Nothobranchius furzeri: one gene and its partners. The protein of the gene in region 1 interacts with the protein of each later gene in a biochemical or structural test. Links are inferred from orthologs where the notes say so. Each region holds a gene or a part of one and is shown on either strand. Other genes may lie near its edges.

The links.
Region 2: the proteins of skp2 (region 1) and cdc34b form a complex in vitro, tested with the Homo sapiens proteins (3 studies listed by BioGRID, with this or other methods). The link is inferred for Nothobranchius furzeri from reciprocal best matches to the Homo sapiens genes SKP2 and CDC34.
Region 3: the proteins of skp2 (region 1) and ccna2 are reported together in a solved structure, tested with the Homo sapiens proteins (2 studies listed by BioGRID, with this or other methods). The link is inferred for Nothobranchius furzeri from reciprocal best matches to the Homo sapiens genes SKP2 and CCNA2.

Annotation. Positions count from the first base shown.
Region 1 is NC_091746.1:70,419,241-70,429,096, forward strand, and holds the start of skp2 (S-phase kinase-associated protein 2), read right to left. Parts: upstream 5,242-9,856; 5' UTR 5,112-5,241; coding exon 5,098-5,111; intron 4,745-5,097; coding exon 4,536-4,744; intron 4,447-4,535; coding exon 4,335-4,446; intron 3,840-4,334; coding exon 3,696-3,839; intron 3,613-3,695; coding exon 3,478-3,612; intron 1-3,477. Other genes in the region: ppp6c (serine/threonine-protein phosphatase 6 catalytic subunit), read left to right, coding at 8,403-8,477, 9,037-9,132, 9,211-9,276. UniProt on the Homo sapiens protein: Substrate recognition component of a SCF (SKP1-CUL1-F-box protein) E3 ubiquitin-protein ligase complex which mediates the ubiquitination and subsequent proteasomal degradation of target proteins involved in cell cycle progression, signal transduction and transcription.
Region 2 is NC_091751.1:57,905,013-57,914,892, reverse strand, and holds cdc34b (cell division cycle 34 homolog (S. cerevisiae) b), read right to left. Parts: upstream 5,057-9,880; coding exon 4,871-5,056; intron 4,787-4,870; coding exon 4,700-4,786; intron 4,609-4,699; coding exon 4,511-4,608; intron 2,934-4,510; coding exon 2,799-2,933; intron 2,686-2,798; coding exon 2,475-2,685; 3' UTR 1,030-2,474; downstream 1-1,029. Other genes in the region: sirt6 (NAD-dependent protein deacylase sirtuin-6), read right to left, coding at 12-139, 447-512; splicing factor Cactin, read left to right, coding at 6,182-6,480, 7,002-7,590, 7,668-7,763, 7,839-7,984, 8,071-8,233, 9,647-9,761. UniProt on the Homo sapiens protein: E2 ubiquitin-conjugating enzyme that accepts ubiquitin from an E1 ubiquitin-activating protein, and catalyzes its covalent attachment to other proteins by an E3 ubiquitin-protein ligase complex. In vitro catalyzes 'Lys-48'-linked polyubiquitination.
Region 3 is NC_091741.1:74,290,570-74,300,526, reverse strand, and holds ccna2 (cyclin-A2), read right to left. Parts: upstream 5,905-9,957; 5' UTR 5,804-5,904; exon of another isoform or gene 5,478-5,803; 5' UTR 5,442-5,477; coding exon 5,235-5,441; intron 4,538-5,234; coding exon 4,279-4,537; intron 2,907-4,278; coding exon 2,800-2,906; intron 2,710-2,799; coding exon 2,486-2,709; intron 2,410-2,485; coding exon 2,205-2,409; intron 2,102-2,204; coding exon 1,988-2,101; intron 1,856-1,987; coding exon 1,722-1,855; intron 1,641-1,721; coding exon 1,589-1,640; 3' UTR 854-1,588; downstream 1-853. Other genes in the region: bbs7 (Bardet-Biedl syndrome 7 protein), read right to left, coding at 6,795-6,928, 7,038-7,161, 7,238-7,341, 7,433-7,542, 7,629-7,793, 8,144-8,283, 8,583-8,651, 8,731-8,805 and 3 more. UniProt on the Homo sapiens protein: Cyclin which controls both the G1/S and the G2/M transition phases of the cell cycle. Functions through the formation of specific serine/threonine protein kinase holoenzyme complexes with the cyclin-dependent protein kinases CDK1 or CDK2.

The DNA of each region.
Region 1 (9,856 bases):
GGAGGTCTACACAGGAGACGTTCAGACGAGCTGTGTTGGAGTGTCGCCGGTTCAGACAAGCTGCGTTCGAGCGCGTTGCTGGTCCAGACGAGCTGCTTTCGAGCGCATCGCCGGTTCAGACGAGCTGCGTTTGAGCGTCACCGATCCAGACGAGCTGCGTTTGAGCGTCGCCGGTCCAGACGAGCTGCGTTTGAGCGTCGCCGGTTCAGACGAGCTGCGTTTGAGCGTCGCCGGTCCAGACGAGCTGCGTTTGAGCGTCGCCGGTCCAGACGAGCTGCGTTTGAGCGTCGCCGGTTCAGACGAGCTGCGTTCGAGCGCGTCGCTGGTCCAGACGAGCTGCGTTCGAGCGTCGCTGGTCCAGACGAGCTGCGTTCGAGTGTCGCCGGTCCAGACGAGCTGCGTTCGAGCGCGTTGCTGGTCCAGACGAGCTGCTTTCGAGCGCATCGCCGGTTCAGACGAGCTGCGTTTGAGCGTCACCGATCCAGACGAGCTGCGTTTGAGCGTCGCCAGTCCAGACGAGCTGCGTTTGAGCGTCGCCGGTTCAGACGAGCTGCGTTCGAGCGCGTCGCCGGTCCAGACAAGCTGCATTCGAGCGTCGCTGGTCCAGACGAGCTGCGTTCGAGTGTCGCCGGTCCAGACGAGCTGCGTTCGAGCGTTGCCGATTCAGACGAGCTGCGTTTGAGCGTCGCCAGTCCAGACGAGCTGCGTTTGAGCGTCGCTGGTCCAGACGAGCTGCGTTCGAGCGTGTCGCTGGTCCAGACGAGCTGCGTTCGAGCGCGTCGCTGGTCCAGACGAGCTGCGTTCGAGCGTCGCTGGTCCAGACGAGCTGCGTTCGAACGTCGCTGGTCCAGACGAGCTGCGTTCGAGTGTCGCCGGTCCAGACGAGCTGCGTTCGAGCGTTGCCGATTCAGACAAGCTGCGTTCGAGTGTCGCCGGTTCAGACGAGCTGCGTTCGAGCGCGTTGCTGGTCCAAAAGAGCTGCGTTCGAGCGTGTCGCCGGTTCAGACGAGCTGCGCTCGAGCCTCGCCGGTTCAGACGAGCTGCATTTGAGCGTCGCTGGTTCAGACGAGCTGCGTTCGAGCGCGTTGCCGATTCAGACGAGCTGCGTTCGAGCGTCGTCGGTCCAGACGAGCTGCATTGGAGCGTCGCCGGTCCAGACAAGCTGTGTTCAAGTGTCGCCGGTTCAGACGAGCTGCGTTCGAGCGCGTCGCTGGTCCAGACGAGCTGCATTGGAGCGTCGCCGGTCCAGATGAGCTGTGTTCAAGTGTCGCCGGTTCAGACGAGCTGCGTTCGAGCGCGTCGCTGGTCCAGACGAGCTGCATTGGAGCGTCGCTGGTCCAGACGAGCTGCGTTCGAGTGTCGCCGGTCCAGACGAGCTGCGTTCGAGCGTTGCCGATTCAGACGAGCTGCGTTTGAGCGTCGCCAGTCCAGACGAGCTGCGTTTGAGCGTCGCTGGTTCAGACGAGCTGCATTCGAGCGTCGCTGGTCCAGACGAGCTGCGTTCGAGCGTGTCGCTGGTCCAGACGAGCTGCGTTCGAGCGCGTCGCTGGTCCAGACGAGCTGCGTTCGAGCGTCGCTGGTCCAGACGAGCTGCGTTCGAACGTCGCTGGTCCAGACGAGCTGCGTTCGAGTGTCGCCGGTCCAGACGAGCTGCGTTCGAGCGTTGCCGATTCAGACAAGCTGCGTTCGAGTGTCGCCGGTTCAGACGAGCTGCGTTCGAGCGCGTTGCTGGTCCAAAAGAGCTGCGTTCGAGCGTGTCGCCGGTTCAGACGAGCTGCGCTCGAGCCTCGCCGGTTCAGACGAGCTGCATTTGAGCGTCGCTGGTTCAGACGAGCTGCGTTCGAGCGTCGTCGGTCCAGACGAGCTGCATTGGAGCGTCGCCGGTCCAGACAAGCTGTGTTCAAGTGTCGCCGGTTCAGACGAGCTGCGTTCGAGCGCGTCGCTGGTCCAGACGAGCTGCATTGGAGCGTCGCCGGTCCAGACGTGCTGCGCTCGAGCCTCGCCGGTTCAGACGAGCTGCATTTGAGCGTCGCTGGTTCAGACGAGCTGCGTTCGAGCGCGTTGCCGATTCAGACGAGCTGCGTTCGAGCGTCGTCGGTCCAGACGAGCTGCATTGGAGCGTCGCCGGTTCAGACGAGCTGCGTTCGAGCGCGTCGCCGGTCCAGACAAGCTGCGTTCGAGCGTCGCTGGTCCAGACGAGCTGCGTTCGAGCGCGTTGCTGGTCCAAAAGAGCTGCGTTCGAGCGTGTCGCCGGTTCAGACGAGCTGCGCTCGAGCCTCGCCGGTTCAGACGAGCTGCATTTGAGCGTCGCTGGTTCAGACGAGCTGCGTTCGAGCGTCGTCGGTCCAGACGAGCTGCGTTTGAGCGTCGCCGGTTCAGACGAGCTGCGTTCGAGCGCGTCGCCGGTCCAGACAAGCTGCGTTCGAGCGTCGCTGGTCCAGACGAGCTGCGTTCGAGCATCGCTGGTCCAGACGAGCTGCGTTCGAGTGTCGCCGGTCCAGACGAGCTGCGTTCGAGCGTTGCCGATTCAGACGAGCTGCGTTTGAGCGTCGCCAGTCCAGACGAGCTGCGTTTGAGCGTCGCTGGTTCAGACGAGCTGCATTCGAGCGTCGCCGGTTCAGACAAGCTGCGTTCGAGCGTCGCTGGTCCAGACGAGCTGCGTTCGAGCGTGTCGCTGGTCCAGACGAGCTGCGTTCGAGCGTCGCTGGTCCAGACGAGCTGCGTTCGAGCGAGTCGCTGGTCCAGACGAGCTGCGTTCGAGCGTCGCTGGTCCAGACGAGCTGCGTTCGAACGTCGCTGGTCCAGACGAGCTGCATTGGAGCGTCGCCGGTCCAGACAAGCTGTGTTCAAGTGTCGCCGGTTCAGACGAGCTGCGTTCGAGCGCGTCGCTGGTCCAGACGAGCTGCATTGGAGCGTCGCCGGTCCAGATGAGCTGTGTTCAAGTGTCGCCGGTTCAGACGAGCTGCGTTCGAGCGTCGCTGGTCCAGACGAGCTGCGTTCGAGCGAGTCGCTGGTCCAGACGAGCTGCGTTCGAGCGTCGCTGGTCCAGACGAGCTGCGTTCGAACGTCGCTGGTCCAGACGAGCTGCATTGGAGCGTCGCCGGTCCAGACAAGCTGTGTTCAAGTGTCGCCGGTTCAGACGAGCTGCGTTCGAGCGCGTCGCTGGTCCAGACGAGCTGCATTGGAGCGTCGCCGGTCCAGATGAGCTGTGTTCAAGCGTCGCTGGTTCAGATGAGCTGCGTTCGAGCGCGTCGCCGGTTCAGATGAGCTGCGTTCGAGCGCGTCGCCGGTTCAGATGGACTTATTTCCACTACTGTTGGTGGTGTCGGGGGGGCTCATGAGTATGTCCTCCAGTGGATAATACTGGAACTGGTTGAACTGGGAAAGCTGGCCTCGCTGTGACCCTACGTGAGGGATTTTCATGTCTGAAACAACCAGAACCAATCAGACCAAATCCTGACCCGGTACAAGTCAGACCTGATGATGCTGTTGGAGAGCTGCAGACCCTCCAGGCTCAGGTGGTGCAGCAGCCTGCAGCGACCCAAAATGTTCTGGAGAGTCGAGGTCGGGATGATAGAGCTGGACAGGTCCAACTCAACGATCTGCAGCGGGCTGGAAGGACAGAACAGAACCCATTATCAGGGGGGTTCTACCTGCTGCTGGGACCGGACCCCAATCCGGGCTGTCGGACTCACCGAGAGTCGGTCAGGTATTGTTCCTCTACAAAAGCTCGAGGGCAGCGCAGCCGGCGGACCCCGGTCCTCAGAACCTGTTGCAGAGCCGGGCCCACGTGGGTCAGCCCCTCCAGGTCCACGCTGTACCACAGAGACTCATCGGACCTGAAACACACAGATTACCTCAGAACCGGATCCTGATCCCCTCCAGCCCAAAGGTCACCTGCATGTCTCTGCTGCTCCGCCCAAAGCCCCACTGATGGAAACTCAAATGAAATACGAGGAGAAACAGAACGGAAGCGGACTTCCGGCGTTGCCATGGAAACACATAAACTAAATAAACGCCTCCAGGAAGACGGCTCTAATCAAACAGCCGGTGCTCTGTTCTAGTTCTCTGTAGTGCTCGTTGGCATGAATGAATAATTCTTGCTCCATCTGGGGGAAGATGCTCACTTATCTAGCATCCATTAACAGGGTCTGCCCGCAGACGCACGAGAACTTGACCTGAGCATCGTTGGTGTTAGCGACAAATCCTCGAGTGAACAGGTGCGATTGGTCAAGCAGGGACTTATCAGGGACCCCCTGGAGAAGCCCCGACCCTAACCACAGCTGGGTTTTCTGAGTGTGTGTGTGTGTGTGCGGTCCAGCAGGATCTCTTACGCCAAACGCTGCCAGCGCCTACTGACTCCAGAAATCCTCAGCAGGTCATGCAAGGGGAGGCAAGAGTAGATCCTCAGGAGCAGCTCCTCAGGTAGATGATCCAATGAAACACCTGAGGAGAGAAACCAGCCAATCAGAGAGGTTTAAGGTTTCTGAAGGCAGCCAGATGGAAGCGTGGGGGGGTGGGGGGGTTTCTCCTACCTGACTTGGAGCTTTTCCTCCTCCGGGACCTCCGGGCCAGCACAAACTCGTTCTCTTTGCCCCTGGGGAGGAGCAGTGGGACCTTGAGAGGCGGTGGTCTCTGCTGGATGGACTCTGTGGGGGTGCACTCAGAGTCCGGACCCTCAGCCAGGCAGGTCCGGGACCGTTTGTTCCGGAGGCTGGAGCAGGGCAGGTGCATCAGGGTCCGGCTGCAGGTGGACAAGATGGGTCTGATCAGCCAGAACCGGACCTTCATCCTGAGGAAGACTCTCCCCACCCCCACCCCCCCGCCCCCAGCCCGCCATCAGGATGATGACAGGTCGCGCAAAGTCCCACCGCTAGAACCACTGGGAGAGCTGCTTTTAAACACCATTAAAAATAATCTGCATAAAATGATCAAACCAGCAGTTTAGAAAGGAAACCCCAGTAGTCCGACATCAGATTAAGTGATCCGTTTATTTAACTGGATTATTTTAATCGGATCATCGACTTGTTTCATTTTCTTGGTTTAAATAAGCGAATAAGACAGAAAACAGGAACTAAATGTAGTTAAGCATCAAACCTGTGTTGAGACATCCTTCCGCTTCAGATTAATAACCCTAATCCGGGAAAATGCACTTCTAATCCTCGCGTTTCTCTCTTTACTCTCCAAACTGGACTCTTTAAACGCGCCACCAACTCACACGCGCCTTGTTTTTACTACGTAAAAAGACGTGACGTCATCACGCACCGGCTTCACCGCCCCCTAGCGCCTGGGAGTAGAAATGTTCTGGTTTTTAATAATTTAATAAGCAAAGCAGCAACCAGACACACCAAAATATGACCAAATCAACCAAACATATCATTATCGGCTTATTTATAGTCATTTTACTTAATAGTGGAGCAGCTGATGCTATAATATTAGTCCCACAACCCCCTGCATGGGTTGCACATCCTTCCCAATGTTAAGAGACCGTCTACATAATTATCAGAAATGGGTAAAACAAATACGTGTTCTTTTGAATCTAGTGAAAGCTGCCTTAAATGTCCCCATCTTCGAGGCCTCACCTGCAGTGTGTGAAAATGTTTTAATACACAAGGTGTTCGACTCTAGCGCCCTTATTTCTGGTGCCAGACGCACTCGTTTATTTTCAGTTTGTGCTTGTGATCCTCTCTTTCTCGGAGATGGTGGTCGATCATTTCATTTATTTATTTATTCGGGACAGTGCGCATTAATAACAATCACATACGTTGTATCCATTGTAAAGAGGCCAGATTATAGCACAATTGCTAATTTACATCTGCAGTTCCTCAACAGGATGACTAAATAAAACAATTTACAATGTACAAATGAAAAACAGTCAGATACAAAAACATAGAAATATAAACAAAAAACAAACAAGCAAGTTACTACAAGTCCAAACATGTCTGGGTTTAGTTTGAGGTTCTATCTAGTGGTGGGAATTCCGGCTCTTTTTCGAGAGCCGGTACTTTTGGCTCAGCTCACCAAAAAGAGCCGGCTCTTTCGGCTCCCAAGTGGCTCCTCAGATTTTCTGTTGCGTAGAATACATTTATAACCAAAATAATGCTAAACTACCGTATATGTAAAATAATTTACTAATGTTAAAAAAGCAATATGTCAAATGTTTATAATTTCTATGGATTTAATAACTGAACACTAAGAAATCTCCACTTTCCGACTGCTGGCGCTCATTTTCTCACCGTCTTCGTCGCACTCTCCTCCCTCTCGCTCGCCTTTTTCGTCCTCCTCATTGCCTCTTGTCTCCCTCCACCCGCAGGTGCTCTGCTGTGTGTCTGTCTGAGTCTGATCCTCCCTCTTCCCCGCCCCTACTGCTCTGTGTGTGGACAGTCTGGACATGCAGTTACACATGTTAACCAGTCACCTGTAGCTTTCACCAAGGCGGGGGGGGGGGGGGGGGTTACGGCTCCGAATGACGAGCCGGCTCCCGTCGTTCACTTCAAAGAGCCGGCTCTTAGAGCCGGCTCGTTCGCTACCGACACATCACTAGTTCTATCAGTGGCACACTCTCTGATTTTCACTGGGATATGGTTCCAACATTGACTCCCTCTGACTGACGATACAGTTTGTCCGAACGTTGTTCTCCTGCAGGGAATCTGAAGGTCTCCTCTAGTGGAGGCTCTGGTACCAAAGCCATTGTCCGGTCTTAGTTTGATATATGTGGAAAGTGGAGGTGGGGCTCATCCATTAAGAATTCTGTGGATTAAACAGCTATTTTTAAACTTAATACGCATTTTAAAATTGAGCATGTTATACTTTTCCAAAATATTACAGTGGTGAAGTGACAAAGGCTTTTGATCGAGGATTTTTAAAGACTTTTTGAATAATATTTCTGTTGGTTTTAAAAGTGTATCTCCAGTGAATGGCCAGGTTGTGACGCAGTAGTCTATACACTCTTAAAAAAGTGGGGTTATTTTTGCTAACCCAACTGTTGAGTTGAGGCTGAAAATCTTAAGGTTGGGTCAGTTCAACCCACCATTGGGTCATATGTGACCCAGCACATTGGGTCACATATGACCGTGTTTATACGGTGTTCATATACATATCTGTAGAAATGTGTATAAACACGGTGTTTATATACATATCTATGCCTTTAGGCAGCGCACGTGTTTTTTTTTAAATATGGTGCCCGCCCCTGTGTACTGCAGTCAAGGGCTACTCATTATGTAGGATAAAAATAAAATAAAGAAAATACAAAGGATTAAAATACATAAGAGAAAAAAATACTACTACTACTAATAACATTCAAACATGAAAATTAAATAAAATATAAAATAAAGCTAAGGCATGAAAACAGAACATTTAGACCAATACAACAATTTTAAATATTAATTGAATTAAAAAAAAGAAAAAAAAACCTAAAAATCAAAGTTAGGCATGATTGTACAAAGCATTATGTACATAATATTTGCAACCGACCTTACAATGAATCTAGAGTTGTAACTTTTACACTGTAAAGTAGTGATTAGTCAAGGTTAGATAAGTAATGCTGCTACGAGTCAAACTAAACGACGACGGTGACGGCGACAGTGGCACAGGAGTTAAGTGCTCGCCCCGTAATCCCGGTTGCAGGCTCGAGCCCCGCTCAGTCTGTCGCTGTCGTTGTGTCCTTGGGCAAGACACTTAACCCACGTTGCCTGCTGGTGGTGGTTGGAGGGACCGGTGGCGCCAGTGCTCGGCAGCCTCGCCTCCGTCAGTGCACCCCAGGGCAGCTGTGGTTACATCGTAGCTCATCCCCACCAGTGTGTGAATGTGTGTGTGAATGGGTGAATGACTGATTGTGTTGTAAGGCGCCTTGGGGGGTTCCAGGACTCTAGAAGGCGCTATATCAAATACAGGCCATTTACCATTTAAACACAAGAAAATGTTCATTTTGTTGTCAAACGAGATTTAAATTTAGTTTTGAAAGTTTAGTATGGAGACTTTGAAAGCATTAAACAAATGTGCTTCACATTCATCACTCTCTGATCGTCCTCCATCTTGGAACGCGCTGTCTCATAAACAACACAAGCCTGAATCTCCGGTGGGCCTGAATCTGCGGTTGGTCCCAATCTGTGGTGGATCTGAATCTGCGGTGGGTCTGCATCTGCGGTGGGTCTGAATCTGCGGTCTCCTGGTCTGCAGCGAAACCATCGCGAGTCGCGACTCTCCTCGCGCACGCAGGCCAGGCTACGGCTGCTCCTGCCTCATTGCACTTCCGCTGTTAGCCGCTGTGAGGCGATAGTGCATGTATCAGAGGATTTACAGCTGAGGAATCGTTGAGGAAGAGCTAGAAAAAAAACGGAAAAGAAAAGGAACTAGCTAGCGGGCTAACATAGTATTTTTATATAAGTTTTACCTTCCTTATTATGGCGCCCTTAGACCTTGACAAATACGTAGAAATCGCTAAACATTGCAAATATTTACCGGAGAACGACTTAAAGGTGAGTTTAATGAGCTGGAGCTAGCATTAGGTTTGTTAGTAGCTGATGAGGCTAACGGCGCGACTACACATGTTTAAAATAGGAATATATTTACACCTTGGTGGTAATAATAATCTGCATTTGATGTATTTGTGTCTACTTTGTCGGAAAAAATTAATCAGCTTTGAACAAAATGTTAACAGTTGAGAAAGGGGAGGTAGGCTAAAGCTACCAGCTAACATAGGGATCACCTACAGCGGTGTACACTCTGACTTTATACCGGCCAGCTGATCACCTGAATATTTAGCCTTATTTTAGAGAACCCCATGGCACAGTTTACCTGTTCAATAACTTGAGATCAGAATTTCTCTAATTTTGTTTCTTATTTGATTCTGTTAGCGGACTTTGGTCAACCAGCTGTTGTTTATGCACATGAATGTTCTGGCTTCTGATGTACTGAAATGTGTTCAGAAGCCAGACTGGTTTGATTTTGAACCATGTTGTTCTCATTCTTGACCTTCATCAACAATAATTATGATGTGTGTGTGTGTGTGTGTGTGTGTGTGTGTGTGTGTTGTAGAGGTTATGTGATTATGTCTGTGATTTGCTGCTGGAAGAATCAAACGTTCAGCCTGTTGCTACACCTGTTACAGTTTGTGGAGATATTCATGGTCAGGTACGTCTGACTGTTGTTCTACTTTGGATAAAAGTCAGCGGCAGATAAAAATGTCTTCTTCTCTTCTTTGGTGTCTAGTTTTATGATCTGTGTGAACTCTTCAGAACTGGAGGCCAGGTTCCAGACACAAATTACATTTTCATGGTAGGTTGACCCTTTTTCTGTGTTGTATCTCATTTATAGCAGAGATGATAGAAATCTCAGCCTTTAATGCTCACATTCCCTCTTTTGTCCTTCATTAACTTTGAGCAGTAGAGAAGAAATGTTTTTTATTTAGAGTGTTTAGTATAGAACCTGCTGCACATCAAATTTAGGACAGTAGAATAGATTTGTGCTGTGATGTCACCAAATGACGGTAGTAGAAGCTAGAGGTGGATGGATCAAAAATGTAACGGTTCGGATCATATCACGGTTTTCAGTCACGGATCGTTTTTCAGATCAGCAGAAAGAAAAAGAAAAGATAAAACAAACAGCTTTGCTCTCTCTCTCTTTATTACATAGAACACTTAAGCCAGTTTTACAAGACACACCATGCTAGCACATCGGTGTGATATTACTGCAACGGTGTGTCTCATAAGTGCACCATGCTGGCATGGCGTTGCACGAATGTTAGAGCGTTCGTTCTGCCTCGCTTGGTGGTAATACTGTTGTAATGGTCTGTCTTATAAATGGCTGCTGCGCCATGGTGCAACAGAGGGAGGTGTCATGATGACGTGGGGAGTTG
Region 2 (9,880 bases), on another chromosome or scaffold:
TTGTCTCTCACCTGAAGTCAGGGATGCCTGCTGAGGTGCTAATTCCAGCTCCAGAGTGGACAACCAAGTACTGAGATTCTTTAATCAGCTGAGCGAGGGCTTCCACTTTTGCTTTTAGCTCCTCCGGATTATCAAAACTCTGGCACAGATCAAAAACACACAATTAAACAATTAGCAAGGGGGCGACTATTGTATACAACCGTGCCAGATGTGTGGCAACAACAAAAGAACACACCATCATCTATCCTCCACCGTGCTTCATAGTGTTTATGTTAAATAACAAAGAGGCTAACACAGCACAGACGGTCTGCTCTACAACACCGTCTTTATATTATTACTCTTAAACGAACCAAACAAAAATGCATTCTCAATGAAAGCGACGCTACGTTGCTAATTTAACTAGCTCTTTGAAAAGCTCTCGGAGCGATACAACACCTAAATGTTACCTCAGGTAGACCGCAAACACCCTTATCCGCGTAAGGCGATAGTCCTGCAGCGTAGTTCACAGACATGACTGTAACTGTTTATTTTTTTTTTCTTTGTTTTACAAACTGTTCTTGTTTTATCTGTTGCGTATTTCTTCCAGCCAGGTTTAGGGTGCTTCGTTTGAATGACGACATCACTGTGCGCCGACACATGCTGCATTCAAGAACTTCAGGAATTAAAATACCTCAACGTGCGCTCCACCTTCGTTCAGACCAGTTTAGACTTGTGGTAGAGATTAGATTAGACCGTACAGCTGTTAGAAATTGAGTAAAAATTTAAATCCAAATTACACAATGAAACTGAATATATTAGAATAAAAAGTCTGATAATAAAAACTGAAAAATCCCACAGAACAAAACGGTTCGGTGCCTTTTAAAAATGGGATTTAACCTGATCAGACATTCCACAAACAAGGACATTTATTCTCAAACATATCTGTAAAATGACTACATTTAGACTAAAACTAAACAAAAATCTTCCATCTTCACCTGCAGAACAACTTTTAAAAAATCATTTAAATGACTCCAAGCTTTAAAAACAGTATGCATTTTTCTTTCAAATTAATCTTTATTTTTCATTTTTAAATATTTGAGAAAAAAAAAACAGACAGAAAAGTAAAACCATATGGTGATCATTCATACGTGTGCATATTGGATTATGGTTCCTGTAGAAGCTGTGAACTGACACTGAAGACCACCGAAAGAGGAAAGGAGTTGCTCGTCTCAATTGTTTTGTCGCGTATAATTTTATCCTGAGTAATTCAATATGATGTCCCAATTAAAGTAAATAAAACAATAATGCTTACTGAAGACAAAATTACACATAGGACATCCACACACTCTAAAAACAAAATCAAAACCACTCTTACAAAAAAATAAATCAATAAAGGGGGCTAACATTTCATTTTCAGTTGTAGGGCTGAAGAAGTTTGATCTCGGTAGTACACACCGACACAAGACTACCTATTCCAGTGCATGCCGAACATCTAACAAAGAAAAACTAAAATCATAGGGCCTGCAAGAAAGCAAAAAGAGAAACATCTGGCAAAGCGTATTAAAATTTAATTTACACTCTGCTTTAGTTCTTCGGGTCCATCAGGCGGCTCAGAGAGCAACGCTGAGGAGAAATACAATTCTAATCAATAATTAGTTCTGCCCCTCTAACCTTCAACAACTTGATTATTACACAACTTTAATAACAAGTTCATTCAAAAAAACACAACCCCACACTGAGTGACAGAAAAACACATCCAAGATAAAAACCCAGCAGAGATCAATTTCATGTTTTAGTAAGAATGTTCATATGAGGAGCTGACTCAGCAGACTCCAGCAGACGGGACGGCCCTCCATTGCCACGAGTCTCTCATGACGTTGGGAAACAGTCCACCAATTTAAAAAATAAAAATAAAAAGACAAAAAGCTTTCAAAGAAGTTCTGGCATGCATGAGAACTTTGAACATACTGTCCATGAAAACTCCTCCATGTCCTGCCAATCAAAGACAGAAACTGTAAAATATGGGACACTTGCAGTCCTTTGTCCATCTTGAAGTCTGTAAAAGTTTCCACCACGAGGCGGACAACCAGTGAGACACCCCCAGTTACAATTAGAGAAATACAGCTATGCAAAACAGGTGAAGTGATGGTTTAAGAGTTTGCACCAGTTCAGTGATCATGAAACCCAACCAAAAATATTTCATACTAAAACCAGGACTGGATTTTGTGAGCAAAGTAAGCTTCAGTGTGATGAAAAGTTCTCGAAGTTGGAAAAAAAAATTGGTGGCTGTGCTGGTGCAAAAGTGACCACAGTCTGACCCTCTCGCAACGAGGCATCAGTTTTAACCTCTGAGGCTGAAGGAAAAAAGCTCTTGTACTGATTTAGAAGGAAGCTTCCAATCTCTCTTGGTTGCAAACCAAGAATATCTGGCAACCCAGGAAGAGTTAAAGGATGAGCATTCGTCAGCTAGGTTGGGTTTTCTGACAACAAGAATGTCACGACTCCTCATTGCCCGAGTCATCCTCGTCATAGCAACAGTCGCCGTCTCCCCCCTCCACGTCATCGTCTTCATAGTAATAGTCATAGAAGAGGTCAGAGCCTTCGTCTGGCGGCGGGGCGCGTGTACGAACGCAGTATTCAGCTAGCGTGGTGGGCACCTTCACGCCATCTCGCTCTGCTTCTGCCTTTGTGGCCAGCACCTGTTTCCTGAAGGGATTTGTTTTATGAAGACTGAATTACTTTTGTGTGGATGGTGTGGCTTTGAAAATCTTTTAGAAATATTTGAGGTTTGTCTTAAATAACATTACACTAATGTTTACCTGATGATCTCTACATATTCCCGGTCCTTGCCTTTGCTGTCTCTCCATTTCCGGTACATGACAGAGGCGTCCACGTTGGCAGGGGAGAAGGTGTTGGGTTCATTTAGCAGCGAGATCACGCTCAGCAAAATGGTCCTAGAAGCAAAAAACAAAGGCAACTTAGTATAGAACCATAAGAAAACGACTTTAGGTGAATTAAAAAGTTTTAAACACATAAAAAATATTTTAATGTCACAAGCCTAAATTACTTATTTCATCTACTATTTTATTAGAATAAACAATGAAGCACATATTACATTAGGAACTTAAAGCTAATTGATAAAACATGTATTAAAAAAACCTGTCAGACCCATGTGCTACCACCCTACCAGAATCAGAATCAGAATAGGTTTATTGCCATTTTCAGTGAACAAACAATTCACAAACTAGGAACTTGCTTCGGCACTAATGTGCTACATATAACATGAATAATAAGATTAAAAATAGAATAAAATAGAATAAAATATAATAATTAAAAAAACTAGAATAAAACTTTCAGCTAAAATGGCAGGTAATGGTAACATGGCCGATAACGTGACGTTGTGTCGAGTACAGAAGACCAGCATGGTTGTGTGTTTATAATCTATTCACAAGTCTAACGGCAGATGGAAAGAAGCTGTTCTTATGGCAGGAGGTTCTGGTCCGGATGGACCGTAACCTCCTGCCTGAGGGAAGCGGCTCAAAAAGTCTGTGACCCGGGTGCGAAGGGTCAGCTGTTATCCGGCCTGCACGCCCCCGAGTTCTGGAGACGTACAGGTCCTGGAGAGATGGAGGGCTGCAGCCAATCACCTTCTCAGCAGAGCGCACAATGCGCACTGACAAGCCTTTACATTACATTTATAAAACGTAGCATTGTGAGTAAGGTTTTAGTGAGTCGTTATGGGAAACAGAAAGAAGCTGCTTCTGTTTGTGGCCAAAGGAACAGCCTTTGTGACAGACTTCCTGATCTACAGATCTAATGTGTCTGCAGCAAAAATGCAAATGAGGAAATTAGGTTAGGTTAACGGTATACCACCTGCAACAACAAAAACATAAGAGCTGCACTGCATCAAGTGACCGAAACCACCAGAGCTTACATCTTTGTAACACTGCTGAAGTTGTGTGATTTCGACTACTACAGATCACAGGTTTAATATCACTTGTGAGTGTGACATCGTTGTGGTGGCTTTTACATAGATAGTTTCTTGTTGAATAGAAATCTGGCTCTCAGTTACAGAAAAAGATCAAAGATACATTTTTTTGTGCACAGATTGCATAATGTGAGCCTGACAAATAACCTCAGAAGGAAGTTTATAATAAATAAAGATGCATTTTCTCCCTCTTCTGCAGCAAAATGCTGTCAAACTCATGCGATACACTTATTGTGAGTCACAATGAATTAAGGTACTCAAAGTATGTTTTTCATAGAAATAAACCAACAAAATCTTAGTTTGCATAGTATGATATTATCCAAAGATCAATTTAATTTTGTTTGTAAATAAGAGGAAGATGCAGATCTAGCTTTACTGCTGGCTGCTGCAGCCGGTGAAGAAGATGCTGCTGATAATGAATGTCATAAGATAAGAGTCTGCGCTGGGTGAACCATTGAAGTGATTGCAAAGTGGACAAAGATGGAAGGAGACCAGAAAGGAGAAACGTATAGAGAGAATATGATTAGAAAGAGAAATGCTAACCGAACATTCTGGGTTGGATTCCATCTCTCTGATGGGAGCTCTCCGCTCTGCGGGTCATCCACTGGAGGGTGCAGTATAGAAATACACACATCTCCATTCTACAAGAGGGGAAACAAATACATTCCATCATCAGATGCATTCATTCAAATTAAATACACTGTTATGAGTACACACACGTCAATATTTAACCTCATAGATGTTGGGATGCCACATTTTGGTTAGGAAGCGGAAAGCAGGAGGGGAGTAAGGATAATCTGTAGGAAACTTGATCCTTGCCTAGGGGGGAAAATGGGGACATCTTGTTATTTTTTAAACTACGGTCATTTCTTATATGTCATCTGATTTTAATTACAACCTTACCTTGAAATATCCCCCTTCATAATGAGTGTTTGGTGGACCAAAAATGGCGACTTCCCAGTTGTATAAATCAGCCTCGTCCACCAGAGTGATTTTAAATCCCTCCACAGGCTCTTCCTGGAGGCTCTTCATTTCCAACATGAGAGCTTTCTGCGAACTAGCTACATGAGAAGGGTCGTGTTGCGCCATAATGATTTATGAAGCTTTCAGGATTATCTGGAGGCGACAGCTTTTGTTTACACGGCTAAGCTAGCCAAGCCAGCAAACAGCACAACTTCTCCTTTTTCGATGTTCGGAGGCAAAGAAAACAGGCCGACCGCGCGTAAAAGCAAAACAAAGACTGCGGTTGGTCTGTTCCCAAATTAAACGTTATTAATGTCAAAACTCAGTAATGTTATAAACGAGAAACACATTGTGTCTGAGAGGCTCAACAGCTTTGGCTGATTTACCTGGCAGAGCAGCAGCTGATATAAGCCTTAAATCTACTGTTAGCTAAGGAAAGCTAACAAGCTCCGTCTAATTGACCAGCTGGAGCGACGTAATTACCGCAAAAACACAAAATAACTACATAAAATGGCAATTTGAAAAGACAAACGCAAAAAGTCATGTGACACTACGCCAAACTATACCTCCAGTAACCATAATTGTTTAGCCCTCATAGAAAGCTGCGAAAGGAAATGTGTTGCTGAAAGAGTCCCCTGGTAAAAACAGGTAATGGCGCCCTGTTGTTGGCTGGGACTGGTAGTCTTTCATTCCGCGTTTGTTAGATTAAAAAAACGTGAAACCAAAATAACTGAAAACCCTGGTATAATATAATTCCTGTTCTTTTTATTTATGATGTTTTTATTTTTATTTTAAATGCCCAAAAAGAAAAATAAGTTTGTTTGTGCTTGCATTTTCCTGTTAAACTGTTTAAATACGGTAGCGGTTACTATGGACGAAATATCTATGACATCAATAATAGTATTTTATCACCGACATAACTAAATTGTAAGAAAAACAATCCTGCGTTCATTTGTGGCTAATTTGTAGTTTATTAAGTGGCTGTGACGTTTTAATCTGCGCCAGTGCTCAGGAAAGCCCATTTAGGCTAGCTTTTCTTTGCCTTACTAAATACATTTGGATTTTTTATAAAAGAAATCTGACACGTAATTTTTTCTGTCATAGCACACGTTAGAGTATGCGAACATTAAACATAGACATATGTTTTTATTAGTGCGATTGTAAACGTTATTATAATCAACAGTGTTTCGTCAATGCCTCCTATTTACGCGACAGACTGCATTTAGGGCCCCGAAAAGAAGAAAGTTCGTGATGGGTTCGAAAACACGGCGTAGGTCTCGTTCCAGGTCCATAAGTCGGGGCAGAGATCACCGAAACAAGTCCAGAGTAAACAGGTCGCGATCTCCAGATGAGAGGAGAGGTCGCAACAGGTCTCCGAGCCCGAAAAGGACCACACTGGGTCGAGGCAGATCCAGCAGCGAGGCTTCGAGCGATGGCTCTCGGGCCCGACCTCAACATAGGGGCCGATCAGGGTCCAGGAGTGAATCGGAGGGGGACAGATGTCGAAGAGCGCCGCGCCACAGCAGCAAATCAAAGGATCGTGCATCGAGGTAATTTTAACACAATATGTTACAGTACGATAAAAGGTTGTGTCTGTTAGTTAAGCTTCACTCGTCCAACTTGAGATTCACACATTAACTTGTTTTTGACTCACGCAGCGCAAAAAATGAAGAAAGTCGCCACAGTCAAAATATATTTTTGTTTGTGATCTATTATTCAGAATAGAGAGTCGCTTGAGATTGGCAGATTTTCATCATCTTTCCTCCAATAAGTCATATTTATAGGTGGTGGGTGGGTGTAACCCACAGGTGGTTATTGCGACAGGTGTTTTTAAACACTATATTTACAGTAAATGTCTGCATGTAACTGTTTAGAAGCAGGTTGAAACGAATTTTACTTTGATTAATTATAAAAACCGTTGTAATCCAATAGATCATTAAACACTCCTAGATTATATATAGAATAGGTGTTAAACACTGTAAAAGGCTTATAAAATGATCTCTTGATACTAGTCATAATTTATGCGTTTATATTCATTTAATTTTCACACTAAATTCTATTTTTGTCTCAGTCCTGATTCAGATAATTCCAAGATGAGAAGGAGAAGGAAAGAGATGGAGAAACGCAGCAGTAGATCCCACGAGAGAAGAAGGGGAAGGTCCCAGTCTGCCTCTGATTCAAGTGATGCAAGCAGAGAAAGAGAAAGGAGGAGGAGAAGAAACAGTCCAGTCAGAGACAGACAGATGAGGGAGCGGTGGAGAAGCAACAGCAGAGACAGAGAAAGGACAAAAGACAGGGACGAAAGCTGGACGAGAAGGAAGAGCAAGGAGAGGGAAAGGGGGAGGAGTAAGAGGAGCAGAGATAGGGCTGATGGGAACAGAGGGAGGCAAAGCCCCAGTTCTTCCGAGTCATCTGAGAGTTCAGGGTCAGATTGCGAGAGCCGAGCAATCAAAGAGAAAACTGAGAGGAAGAACAAGAGGGAGATGATGAAAGCACTGGAGACGCCAGAGGAGAAGAGAGCCAGAAGGTTGGCGAAGAAAGAAGCTAAGGAGAAAAAAAGGAGAGAAAAGATGGGGTGGAGTGAGGAATACATGGGGTACACCAACGCAGACAATCCTTTTGGTGACAATAACCTATTAGGAACCTTTAAATGGCAGAAGGTGGGTTCCTTTCCCAGATCTGTGGCTGATTGTTTTTAAGTCTTGAAAGGACTTTCATCAGGATACTTTGTTCTCAGGCGCTGGATAAGAAGGGTATCGGCCATCTTGGTGAAAAAGATCTTAAAGAAAGGAACAAATGTATTCAGGAGGAGAACCGCAGAGAGCTGCAGAAGGTATGAGTTTTGGGGTGATTTTGAATCTAAATCAAAATTTTGAAGTTTAGTGGCTGCAGCTTTGTGTTTATTCAGGTGAAACAGCTGAGGCTGGAGCGGGAACGAGAAAAAGCCATGAGGGAGACGGAGCTGGAAATGCTGCAGAGAGAGAAGGAGGCAGAGCACTTCAAAACCTGGGCTGAACAGGAGGACAACTTCCATCTGCAGCAGGCCAAACTAAGGTCCCTCTTCATCGTTTCTGTTTCTGTGTCAGGCTTATTCAGCATCTAGGCCTTTATGTGTTATAAACCTGCTCCTTTGTGTTCAGATCCAAGATTAGGATTCGCGATGGCCGTGCGAAGCCCATCGACCTTCTGGCAAAGTACATCAGTGCTGAGGATGATGATCTGGCCGTGGAGATGCACGAACCATACACATTCCTCAATGGGCTGACTGTCACCGACATGGACGATCTGCTAGAGGACATAAAGGTCAGTAGATGGACTCGCTGAAGCCAGGGTTGCTTTTTAGGGCTGCAACAACGAATCGATAAATTCGATGAAAATCGATTACTAAAAGCGTTGGCAACAAATTGCTTCATCGATTCGTTGTGTCGCACAACTCTTCCAAAAGGCCCCCCCTCCCCTCCCTCCTGCCCGCCGTTGAGCGCAGACCGGAGCAAGTCAGTTCAGCGCGAGAGAGAGCCGGCAGGTGTTTGGAAGAGGAACATGGCAGAAGCAGCGAGACCCAAAAAAGTGAAAACTTCTAAAAGTTTGGGAGCATTTTCAGTTAAATCAGGCGACGACATTCGTTACCTGCAACGTTTGTAGGTCAGACTTAACATGGCACGGGAGTACTACGGTGATGATGCAGCATCTTAAACGCATGTCGGAATCATCAGCGAGGAAGGAGAGAGCCCTGTGTCCAGGTAAGTTAAAAACATTTCAAAAGTTATTCACCCAAGCCCCGGATTATTACACAGGCTAGACATGCCCTAAGCTCGTAAAAAAACAGTCTATAAAATCGTAAGCGCAACGCTATTAGATAGGCGCGGGGGGGGGGTCGCGCTGCTGTGAACCGGTTCCGCCGTCACATTCCCGCAGAAACTGGTTGATCACACCGGGGCCAGACTACTAACATGTGGCTTTGCAACCACAATGTCCTCAGAAGCGAAAACGCTTTTAAAAGGGAGGGAGGAGTCCTAACTGTTGCTGCAGGCGTGTTGTGTGAGAGTGCAGTTATATACTGGTTAATATATTTTTGGGTTCAGTTGCTTTCATGTGGCCTAATGTGAGTCTATTTGGGATCATTGGAATGATCAGCAGCATTTCTTGATGTGACTTTATGGCAGTTGCCCAGGGCATCATCACAAGGAGGATGGCATTCATTTACTTTTGTTTTATTTGGTATTTTTTTCAGTCATTTTTGGAAATAGTGATTAATTTTGATTAATTCACAGCCTATGTTTAATTACATTTAAAAATTAGTTGTTTGACATCCCCAATTATAATAAATGTCTACAGATGAGATCAAACAAAACAGATGAGAATTGCTGTTTAACTTGGACCAAGCATTTTAGGTCACAGATAGGTGTAGCTTAGGGTCTCTGTCTATACACCTTATAAGACAATTTAGGTGATGGCATGTTGTTTTTCTGCTATTGAACTGTTTTCTAATAATGTTGTGTTTAATAAAGTGAAGGAAAGAGAGAAATAACGTTTCCCTAGCAGTTTTTAAAAATGTCCCAATGTAATCCGATTAATCGTGTCGAGACTCCATCCGATTAATCGATTATCCAAATAATCGTTTGTTGCAGCCCTATTGCTTTTAAACCTGCACGAAATCATGCCGAAGCCTGCAGACAGATCTGTATTTGTGTTGGTTTGTGGTTCGTTGTCTGAAAGGTCTACATGGAGCTCGAGCAAGGGAAGAACGTGGACTTCTGGAGAGACATGACGACGATCACAGAGGATGAGATCAGCAAACTGAGGAAACTGGAGGCTTCTGGGAAAGGGCCAGGTGATGCATTGACCAGGGTGCTCTTGTAGACGTTTAGTACATAAATGTTCCAGCTTTACCAAACCTATTTTAATTTGATCAGCAATATTTGGGATAAAAAGCGGCCACGAGTAGATTTC
Region 3 (9,957 bases), on another chromosome or scaffold:
CACATGAAAACTGCTAAAAGGGGGAAAAAGACAAAGGTTTCTGTAAATAAGATTCATTTTTATTGTCAGTTGAGACCAACTAAAAAAAAAATTCAACGTTAGTCTGTAAAGGCACCAAGTCCCAGTCTTAGTTCTGTCTCTTCACAACACACGCTGCAGCCTCTGGTCAGAAGGCTGTCTGAAGGAGCGAGCCGGCTGCAGCATCGATTTTCCCACAGAGTTCCTGAGCTGTTTAAAGAGCATCCAGAGAAGCATCATCATGAGCAAAAGCAGACCAAACAGCATCCCAACATACAGACTCAGGTTCCAACCCCAGCCCAGTGCCAGGGGCAGCGAGGTGGAGGTCACCAGAAATTTTTTGGGCGCAGGCATTGGCTTCAGGCAGCAAACCTGCCCTCTCCACCTTCAGGAACTGAGCTTTATCCACACTTGGATCTTCTCTTGGGTTGTTCCTGGTGTGCAGTAGGAACCATTATTCAAGCAAGTATCCAACTGATTAGGATGTGTTAAAGAAATCCATCATTCTGTTCCAGTTTGAAAAATGTGCAGGACAGCAAACCTGTTGAGGAGGTGCACAGCCGTTGAGTCTTACATGATAAAAATCCTCTGCGCAGCTGGGCTCTGCTTTCTCTCCGTTAGATGCCTCGCTCAAAGCCAGCCCACTATTTATCATAAAAGAGCAAGTGAGACACCTTCAATGCCATTGGCTGCCTTCAGCTCACTCTCTGTGAAAATTTGAGTCAATAAAAAAATAGGGGGGGGGGGGTGATTGTGTTGTATACTAAATTTTCAATGTTTACAGTAAAAGAAACATCTTTCAACCGCCCAGGAATGAGGACACAATCCACTTGCAAACATTCATCCATGGAGTTTTATTGTTCCCCAAACATTTACAGCCTCATGTTAACAGGTGATATGAAATCCTGATTTAAGAAATCACACTGAACACACCCTTTAGAAGGACTGAGGTGGAGATGTTTGACAGACCTGTCCTCATCCGTCCATGGCTGAAAACATGGCCTCTGCTGCCCCCATGAGTCCAACGTGATACAGATGTGGCATTCCTCATTTTAAACGGATTTTATTTACAAGAGCTATATTTTACAGTGCAGAAAATGCCTCTTCCAAGGCATCCATGCAATCAGATGAATGGATTAACACTTTTAAATCTGCATCCCAACAGGTCAAACTGGGTCCACCTCCAGGAAGAAAAAGTGGTAAATTGGCAAAAGCTGTTTTTAAAAGACTCAGCCCCAGAAAAGTGTAAAAAAAATGCCACAACCCAGGTTCTGGTTAAACCACAGGCCTTAAAAAGTTTGATGCAGTTGATAAAAGCAGCCCTTTTTGTGTTAAGAGTGGTAAAAGGTTTGTCTTGTTAAAAACTGCCTCATTATACAAAATCTGTTTTGTCGAACACTGGGATTCAGAATATAAAAAAATATATAGAAAACCTCCAAATCTAACATCACTCCAGAATGTGCAGAACATATTAAACTCAGAAGCTTAAAAAAAAATCTTAAAAAAAAAAAAAACTTTTTTTTTTTTAAGTTTAAGACAGACAAAGGGTACGCATGCCAACAAGCAAAAGCTAGTTGAGCTGCAGTTTAGCTGGCGAGCTGATGCAGGAAACCTCATGGTACCTGTGAAGGAAAAAAAAGACCATAGATAAGTGATGTCCAACTTCACACAACAGAAACAATGTAGGTGAATCAGAAGCTAACTTTGAGCCCTTGTACTTCTCCCGGACAGACTGCTGGGCGTGCTGGGTGGCACCGACGTACAGTCTGTGGAGATCCTCTACACACGGCATCAGATCCTCCAGACTGTAATCGGTCATCTCCACCAATGGCTTAGGCTGAGGGGAGAAGAAAGTCATTTCAACATCAACATCTGCAAAACAGTATGGAATAATTAAATCTACTGCAAGAATCAGCAGTAAGAGATCCACACAGGGACTGTGTAGTCTACAGTCTAACAGTAGTTTTACCCAGGATCCTCCAGTAAGCGTATTGTTAGCCAGGACGTAGGCTGCAGCGGCCGTCTGGGATGGCAGGTATTTCAAGAACGGATCCGAATCAACCAGGCTGAGCTCCCCAAGGTACTAGAAAGAAAAGTTCCTCCGTTAAACATGCCATAACGATGATTTGCTTATAAAACTAGTCTGCTCAAGTGTGGATTAGGTGCACCACGTGACTGGCTCTTACCATTGCCAAACTTTCCACCTGTTTACCAGTAGAATGGTGACAGAAGTACTGAGTGAGAAACTGGTTTATTGTGGGAGCAGCCAGATCAAAGGAGAGCACCTTCAGCACCAAGTGCTCCATTTTTAGCACTTGCTTTTTTGTGTACGTGTCATCTGTGATGTAGACAAACTCTGACACTTCAGGAGGGTAGATCTCTTCAAATTTCCTGCAGGGAAATATAAAAATGTATATAACGTGGTAAACTTTACAGTCCAAACACAGCTACCACATAGACCACGTACGAAGCCAAGAGCATGGCGGCGGTTCCCACAAGCTGAAGTTTGCCCCGTAGAACAGACATGGAGGACAGGAAGCGATCGATGTAGTTGATGGCCAGATAGAGCGTCTCGTTCTGGAGTTTATACTCCTCTCCAACCTCCACCAGCCAGTCCACCAGGATGGCCCTCATGCTGTTTGTGATGTCGGGTTGCTTCTTCATGTAGCCCGCTTTAGGTCGGGTTTTAGTCTACAGAGAGAAGATTAAACTGATTTGTATCTAAAAAAAAAAAAAAAAAAAAAAAAAAAAAACATCTAGATAATAGATTAATGCACTCACCTCTCGCTCTCTCAAGTATGTGTGGATCTCTGGAGCGTATTCTGGAACCTCATTTACAGCCACAGGTTTTTGATCCCCTTCTATCACAGACATGTCCATGGGAGAATCTGGAGAGAAAACAGTCTATATTTAGTACAATAAAGCTGACTAACATGTCAAAGTTAACACTTTATTGCGTAATAATGAACTATTGGAGGGAAAGTCAATTTTTTTTCTTCCCCGGAACTGCGCTGCTCTGGGTGGCTGCATGTTGGAGTAGCTGTTGACTATATGTAAGTTTAGCCTTTTCTTGGGCATTTTTTCTTCTAGTTTCTCAAGAAAAACTATTTTTTGGACACTTTTCTGTTTCTGGTGCTGTGAAGCTTGGAGGATTTTTACTGCTACTTTTAGCTTTTTTCACTTTGAGCATGTTGTGATGCGTAACCATGGCAACCGTCTGGTTTACAATCGGGAGCAACTGATTAACATTGGAAAGACTGAAATAATACCTCAACTGAAGCCACAAATCCCAAATGAGCTAAAACGCAAGAAGCGTGGGTGCAGAGCGGGACGGAGACAGAGAAAGAGGAAATTCAAACCATCTCTTCCATCGATCATAATGGGCAATGTGGATGGAGGAACTCCAAGCCTTTTCAAGGACTCAGCCAGAGTTTCGGCAGTTTCGGAACCGCTGGAGGAGATAATGCAAAGAAGGATTCTCCAGAGAATCAAGAAAATGATGGACAACCCTGAGCATTCTCTTCACAAGACTGCCCGACAATGGAAGAGTGTCTTCAGTCAGAGGCTTCTTCAGTTTTGCTGCAACACTGACAGCTACTGGAGATCCTTCCTGCCAACAGCCATTGTGATATACAATAACTCTTTGATGACTTGATTAATATTATTAATATTATATATTATTATTATTATTCTGAGTTATTTTTATGTATAATTTTAGAGGGAAGTGGAATTTAAAAGTACAAAGAGTAAGGACAACATTGAAAAGGATGTCTATTTCAATAGCGGGCGTTAAATTCTGGAATGAGTTAACAGAAGAAATAAAGGATAGTAGTAATGTAAACCAGTTTAAAATAAAACTCAAAAAAGAAATGTTAAATAAGTATAAGAATGAAGAAAATGCAATTAACCCAGGACGGCATGCAAACTGATGTTTAATCTATTCTACAAATTAGAAAATCTAAATGTAGTTCTAGTTGAACATGATAATTTTATTTATTTATTATTATTGTTATTTTTTTTTTGAAGGCATTGTAACTGTTTTGTTGTTTAAATTTTGATGAGGATGTAAACCTGAGGGGTAGGGCTAAATAAGTATACACTTCTCCCTACTCCTTTTCAAACAATTGCGTGGAATGATTTTATGAAATGTTGGTGAATGTATATGTTTGAAATAAAGTGAACTGAACTGAACTACTACAGCAATCAATTTCCCTCTGGGATTAATAAAGTATTTTTGAATTGAATTGAATATTAACCCACCAAAGCTGACATCCATGGCTAACGGAACCGGAACCTCGATCACTGCCAGGGGCTGTCGGAGTCGTGCCACAGCATGACTGACAACCAGAGGAGATTCCTCCACTGTGGGCTTCGCTTTGTTTGTTTCAGCCACATGCTTTTTGTCACAGGCTACGTCAGGCTCATCCACATGGATCTGGAAAGCTGGCTGCTTAACAGGTCTTTCAACAAGGATTTTGTTAAAATCTTCATTTTTGCAAGCCAAGGGCTGTGATGTTTCCTGGAACAAAAAAAAAAAAAAAAATCTGTAATGTACAGACATCTGCCAAAACTTGATTTGTGAATTAGAAACTTCTGTGGAAAATGTGATTCAAATATAGCAAATTTCTTTGCATTTCTGTTAATGTGAGGCTCAGTGGAAGCAATATATTATAAAGTATTATTAACTATTAATACTACATTAAAAAGGTAATAAATTAGTATTTCAAAAACTTCTCTTCTCAGACCAGCTGGTGATTAATTAGTTTAACTCTACAATAGCAAAATGTATTAGGAAGGACCCAAAATGTATGCCCTTTATTAGAACACGAAAAACATGCAGGTGTGTAAAAAAATAAATAAAAGAAGTCTACAGATTATGCTAAATTAATTTTACCTCTGTGTTAAGTCTCGGTTACAGGATACTTGTAAATGCAAAGAAAATCTTGTGTAAATTGACTTAAATACAGTAAATGAAGACGGGAGGTTCTCCAGAAGCACATTTGTGTTTAGAACAAAGCAACTCAAGGGCTATAAGGTTATTAAAATGGCGGAAAGCAGGGGAAACTTAACAGAGCAACATAACATGTCATTTTACTTCATTTTTAAAAAGGCGCTTAAAGCAGCTAATTAACGTACTTGCATCCAAATGTAACCATTTTAGTTGCCTTCAGAGCCTGCCTAGGTGTTAGCTTAGGCCAAGGTTGCTAGCCTGTTACCTGTTTAGCGCCTCGCTGGTTCTGGGCTTTGCTCCGATGGTTGTTCTGCAGGGCTCCCAGCACGGTTCTGTTGGCGGCTTGTTTGGGAGGCTGGTTTTCTTGGTTTTCACCAGCTCGGTGTTTAAGCGACCCTCTGAGCCTTGAAAGCATGTTTTCATGGTTGGGGAGCTCACTAGCCGCATTTCCTTGCCTGTTAGCTCCTGACATGTTTCCACCCTCCAAGAGAGAATCCACTTCTCCGCACTTTTTTTAACAAAAAAACAAATAAATAAAAAAGCAGTGGTCAACCGTAGTGTGCTTCCTCACAGAGCGAAAAAAAGAGGAAAGCTTACAAATCAAAAGGCTAAAAAAGATGGCGTGTGAGCAGTTATGTCGAAGCGAGCTTTAGCTGTTGCACAGCAGACTGAATCGTGAATCAGAACTAAACTGTTGAGATGGCAACAGCACTTGGAACTGCAGCGCTAGAACAAAGCAAATAAAAACAAACGTGCACCTTTGACATCGGGTTGGCAAAACTAAGGAAAAACTAAGTTGCCATTCTATTTATAAGTTTTGTATCCGGTACAAACCTGCACAATGACAGCAGCTATTGTCGATGCATTTTCATGCAAACACTTAGAGAGTTCAAGTAGCCCGCGATGATTGAAACCGACCAATCACAGACCGCGAAGGAACTGACGTATTACAAGTGTAGGAGGCGAGGAGGGACAAAAAACTTTAATTGCAAATTTAAAACCGGTTTGAAAAAAAGATCCCAAATACAAAGTTAAACGCGAGTAACAACAACGTTAACGCATTTGGAATAAAAATCTTTGCTGCAACAATTATGTATATTTATATCATTAGAAGCACTTCAACATACTTAGACGTCTTCCTAACCTAGGGCTCGTGCTTGAGGTCATTTCTAGGTCCACCAGTATACTTGTTTACTGAAAGACTTGCACATATGTTTAGTTTAAGAAATTACTCATAAGACTATAATTTAAAATGTTTAAATACTATTGTATTTTTATGTTTGGCTTTATTTTTCATGTGTCCTATTCTTACATTAGGTTGAATGACCACTTATGCTGATTAGATAAATTTGTGTATAAAACTTAAATCCACATGGAAGTACCTAACCCAGTATACAGCAACAACTTGTTTCTTGACGAATCTGTTGTAGCATGAGGTACATTACATTAAGATGTAAATAATATGGAATAAAATTGAAAACAATTGGTGTGTTAGCTATTTTTTACTGACAAGTTACTGCACAAGGACTGGTTTAATACAGAAAGATTAGATATTAAATTGAGTAGCATTTGACACACATACTATAACTGTAACAAATTCCATCAAATTCTTGCATGAAAATAAGAGTATTGCAGTATTCTCCTAACCATTTGCAGTACGCCTTAATACATCAAAAGTAATTTATTACTCAACTCTTAAGGGAGAGTAAATTATTTCTAAATAAAATTTAACAAAATAACACAGTCTCAAAGATGAACTATCGTCATGTAAAGATTGCAACACAACAACCGTCACAGAGATAGATCATCTTTGGCCATTATGGCATCATGGCTCATTGAAAAAGTCTAAGAGTGACTTTAATTCGTAATTATCAAGTATCTCCAACAACGAGGACACTTTTGTTTTCACATTTTGGCCCTTGAATTTGAATTTGTCGATGAAGAGGTCAGTGATCATTCCTGCAGGAAAACAGAAATACACACAAAACTTTATAAAGTGAAAATCAAAAAGCAACAATAACAAAAATTAATCAACAGTGAAAGTTAGTTCTTTTTACTCCAGCTTTACCGTAAAGCCTTTCAAGGTGGGCTGGCTGCTTCTTGTACTCCTCCAGAAGGTTAGCAGACTCATCCAAAATGCTGCGGTACTCTGGGATGAGGAAATCTGCATTTCCTTCATGAACTTGAAGTTCCTAGGAAACATAGATTCAACTATAATGAACTGAATCATAAATAAACAGCAACAAAACACATTTAACCAAAACTTACTTTGAGAGCATCGACAAGTTGAACTTTTCTAGCCAGCACCAACTGATACTCCAGCTTTGGGTGGATCATCCTGAGGGTGTGGCTCACGGAGTCGTCATTAATATCTGGTAGATCAATAAACATGTTGTTCTATGTCGCTGAATGATGGCAAAAGACGTCTCAGCTTATCCGGAAACAGAAGAAAAATAAACATACCGTATGAAATGTTTAGATTGATTTTCTTCTTGGTAGCTTCTTTGGAAAGAACATCAGTCAGTATAGAGATAGTAGAAATATTGTCGGACTTGAAGTGGCCCTCCCCTTTGCTGAAATGAGACATTCAGACTCGTTCGCAACTGAAGTACTATTTCAGATGGAGTGCAGTATTATTTTACTTTGTGCATGCATTTACCTGTAGGTGGCTTCCAGCTGTGTGCCAAGGAATGTGTTATAGAAGTAGAAAGTAATGCTCTCGCCTGCCGGAGTTTTCTCAGGCACCTCTGGCAAACAGAAAACCACCCAGGAATGAATCTCTGCAAAACTGAACTGTCCCACCAAATTGAGCTGATTCATGGGTCTGAAAGAAAACAAATGAGAGATCACATTACTGAGTTAACTCTAATTATAATGAGAAATCTCTAAGATTACGGAAACAAACAAACACATACAGAAGGAAATAATACAATTTCTCAAAAGCCAAATGTAGTGTAGTGTAGTCTTGTTGAAGGCTATACAGCAATTCTCTTAATAAATACGGCTAAATGCATAATTCTTGATATCGAGTTTATTAATAAGTTTTGGCAATCTTATGCCTCAAGATAATTCCATGCTGTCATTTGATACATTTTTAGTAATGACTGCTCTAATCAGAAAATCTGAATAACTGAAATCCATGTATATACCGTATATATAGACTAAAATCATTACCTGTCTGGGTCTATACTGTGCGTCCGCTGGTGAAGGGACAGTGGTTTGATCTGATACTGCCGAACCTGACAGGTTTTTGGTTGCAGTCTGGGGGTAACATAAGCCTGCAGGGTCCCATACTGTCCCTCAATGGATCTCACCTATAAAAATGTTTCAGTTTGGGATTAAACATTTTATTCTGTGTTCAATTATTTATAAAACAGGTTTAAAAAGTAGATTAGGTAACAATTTTTAATAGAACATCTGTATAACACTGCATTAAAGCTTTTCTTTGAACAAGTATGGTAAGTGATTAAGTAAAAAGTAAAAGCAACCAGAATCAGAGAAAACTGGACCTAATGTGATAATATAGATTTATAAACAAAAGTAAACACTAAAGGCATGTCTGCATGGCTTCACTGCAAACCAGAGAGTGACAAGAGTCCAATGTTCTGCTTACCTTAAGCTCCATCCTTGTAGTGTTGGCCTGACATCTGTATGTGGCCAGGAGGAAGTTCCCATTAGGCTGCTGAAATAACAACAAGCATCAGACGGTTTGGAGCGGAGGCAGGATGGTTTTATGTAAAGAAAGTATTCATACAGCTCACCTCTGAGTCACATTCACTAAAACTGACGACAGCAGAGTTCTTATCAACGTCCAGCAGATCTATGGGGACGTCACTCTGTGTAAAAAATCCAAATTTAAAATGACACTTAAGACGTTTCATTCTGAAACACAGGATCAAAAGCAAGCATTTTTAAAATAGTTTTTCATTCAGAGGGGCTTATATGCTGCGTATACCTGGAGCAGCAGGTTGTCGATGGCTGTCTGCACCTCCAGCGTCAGACTGTAGCTGGCGTCGTCCTGGCTGAGGGTGAACTTGTCGTTGATGCTGAAGACAGGCACAGCAGAGACAGCTGTGTTGGACTGAGAGATCTGTTGGTATTGCTCTCGTCCCTGTAACACTTTAACCTGCAGCTGTTCCAGCTCCGCTCTAAAAGGGTTCGAACAGATTTGTCTTTAAATTCTCCTTTAACCAAATCACAGATAGTCAAACGAGAAGCTCTGATACCTGAGTGTTTCTATTTTAGACTGGGTCTCTTTGCTCATCCTGACCTCGTCTCCTGGACCAGCTTCTGTCTTCTGGGGCTCAGTGGTCAAACCAGTCACCCATCCTGGAAATGGTCAAATAATGAAACTTTACTTTTTTATGTCACCTCTCCTGAATAGTTAAACAGGACATTCTCATTACTGAATCCATTAAAGGGAGACTAGGATTGCTTTTGGCACCCCTGGTGTCCATTTAGTAGAACTGAAAGTAAAACCTACCTCCTCGCTGTGTGTTCACCTTTTTATCATCTTAGTCTAACAGCTGAAATGTCTCCCCAGCCTTCCTTAGTGTCTACAGGAGTGGTTCATCACTAAATTAAACAAATCAGCTGTGTTCATGATCTAAAACATGCAGGAAAAGTCCTGGAACCAGACTGCAGTGCCAGGTATGTCAGCTCAACTTTTCCCAACAGACCAAACCGGAACTCTGAAGCTAAATATTCTGTCTACAGGGGACAATAAGGGCTGGGGTGGTCTTTCATTAACCCTGTAAAGCGTCATTTTTGCACATACTAGACTTTGCGTAGTGTCTTTTTAAGTCTTTCCTCTAACCTGTATATGTGGAGGTCAGGAGCTCATCATAAGACTCTTTCCCCACACAGCCACCCTGGATGGAGGTCACACTCTCTGACAAAACCTGTAACAAACATCAGCCGGTCACTTTCAGCTTATGCAGACAGTTGAAATTGTGCAAAGTATCTTTAATCAACTGATTTCACACCAG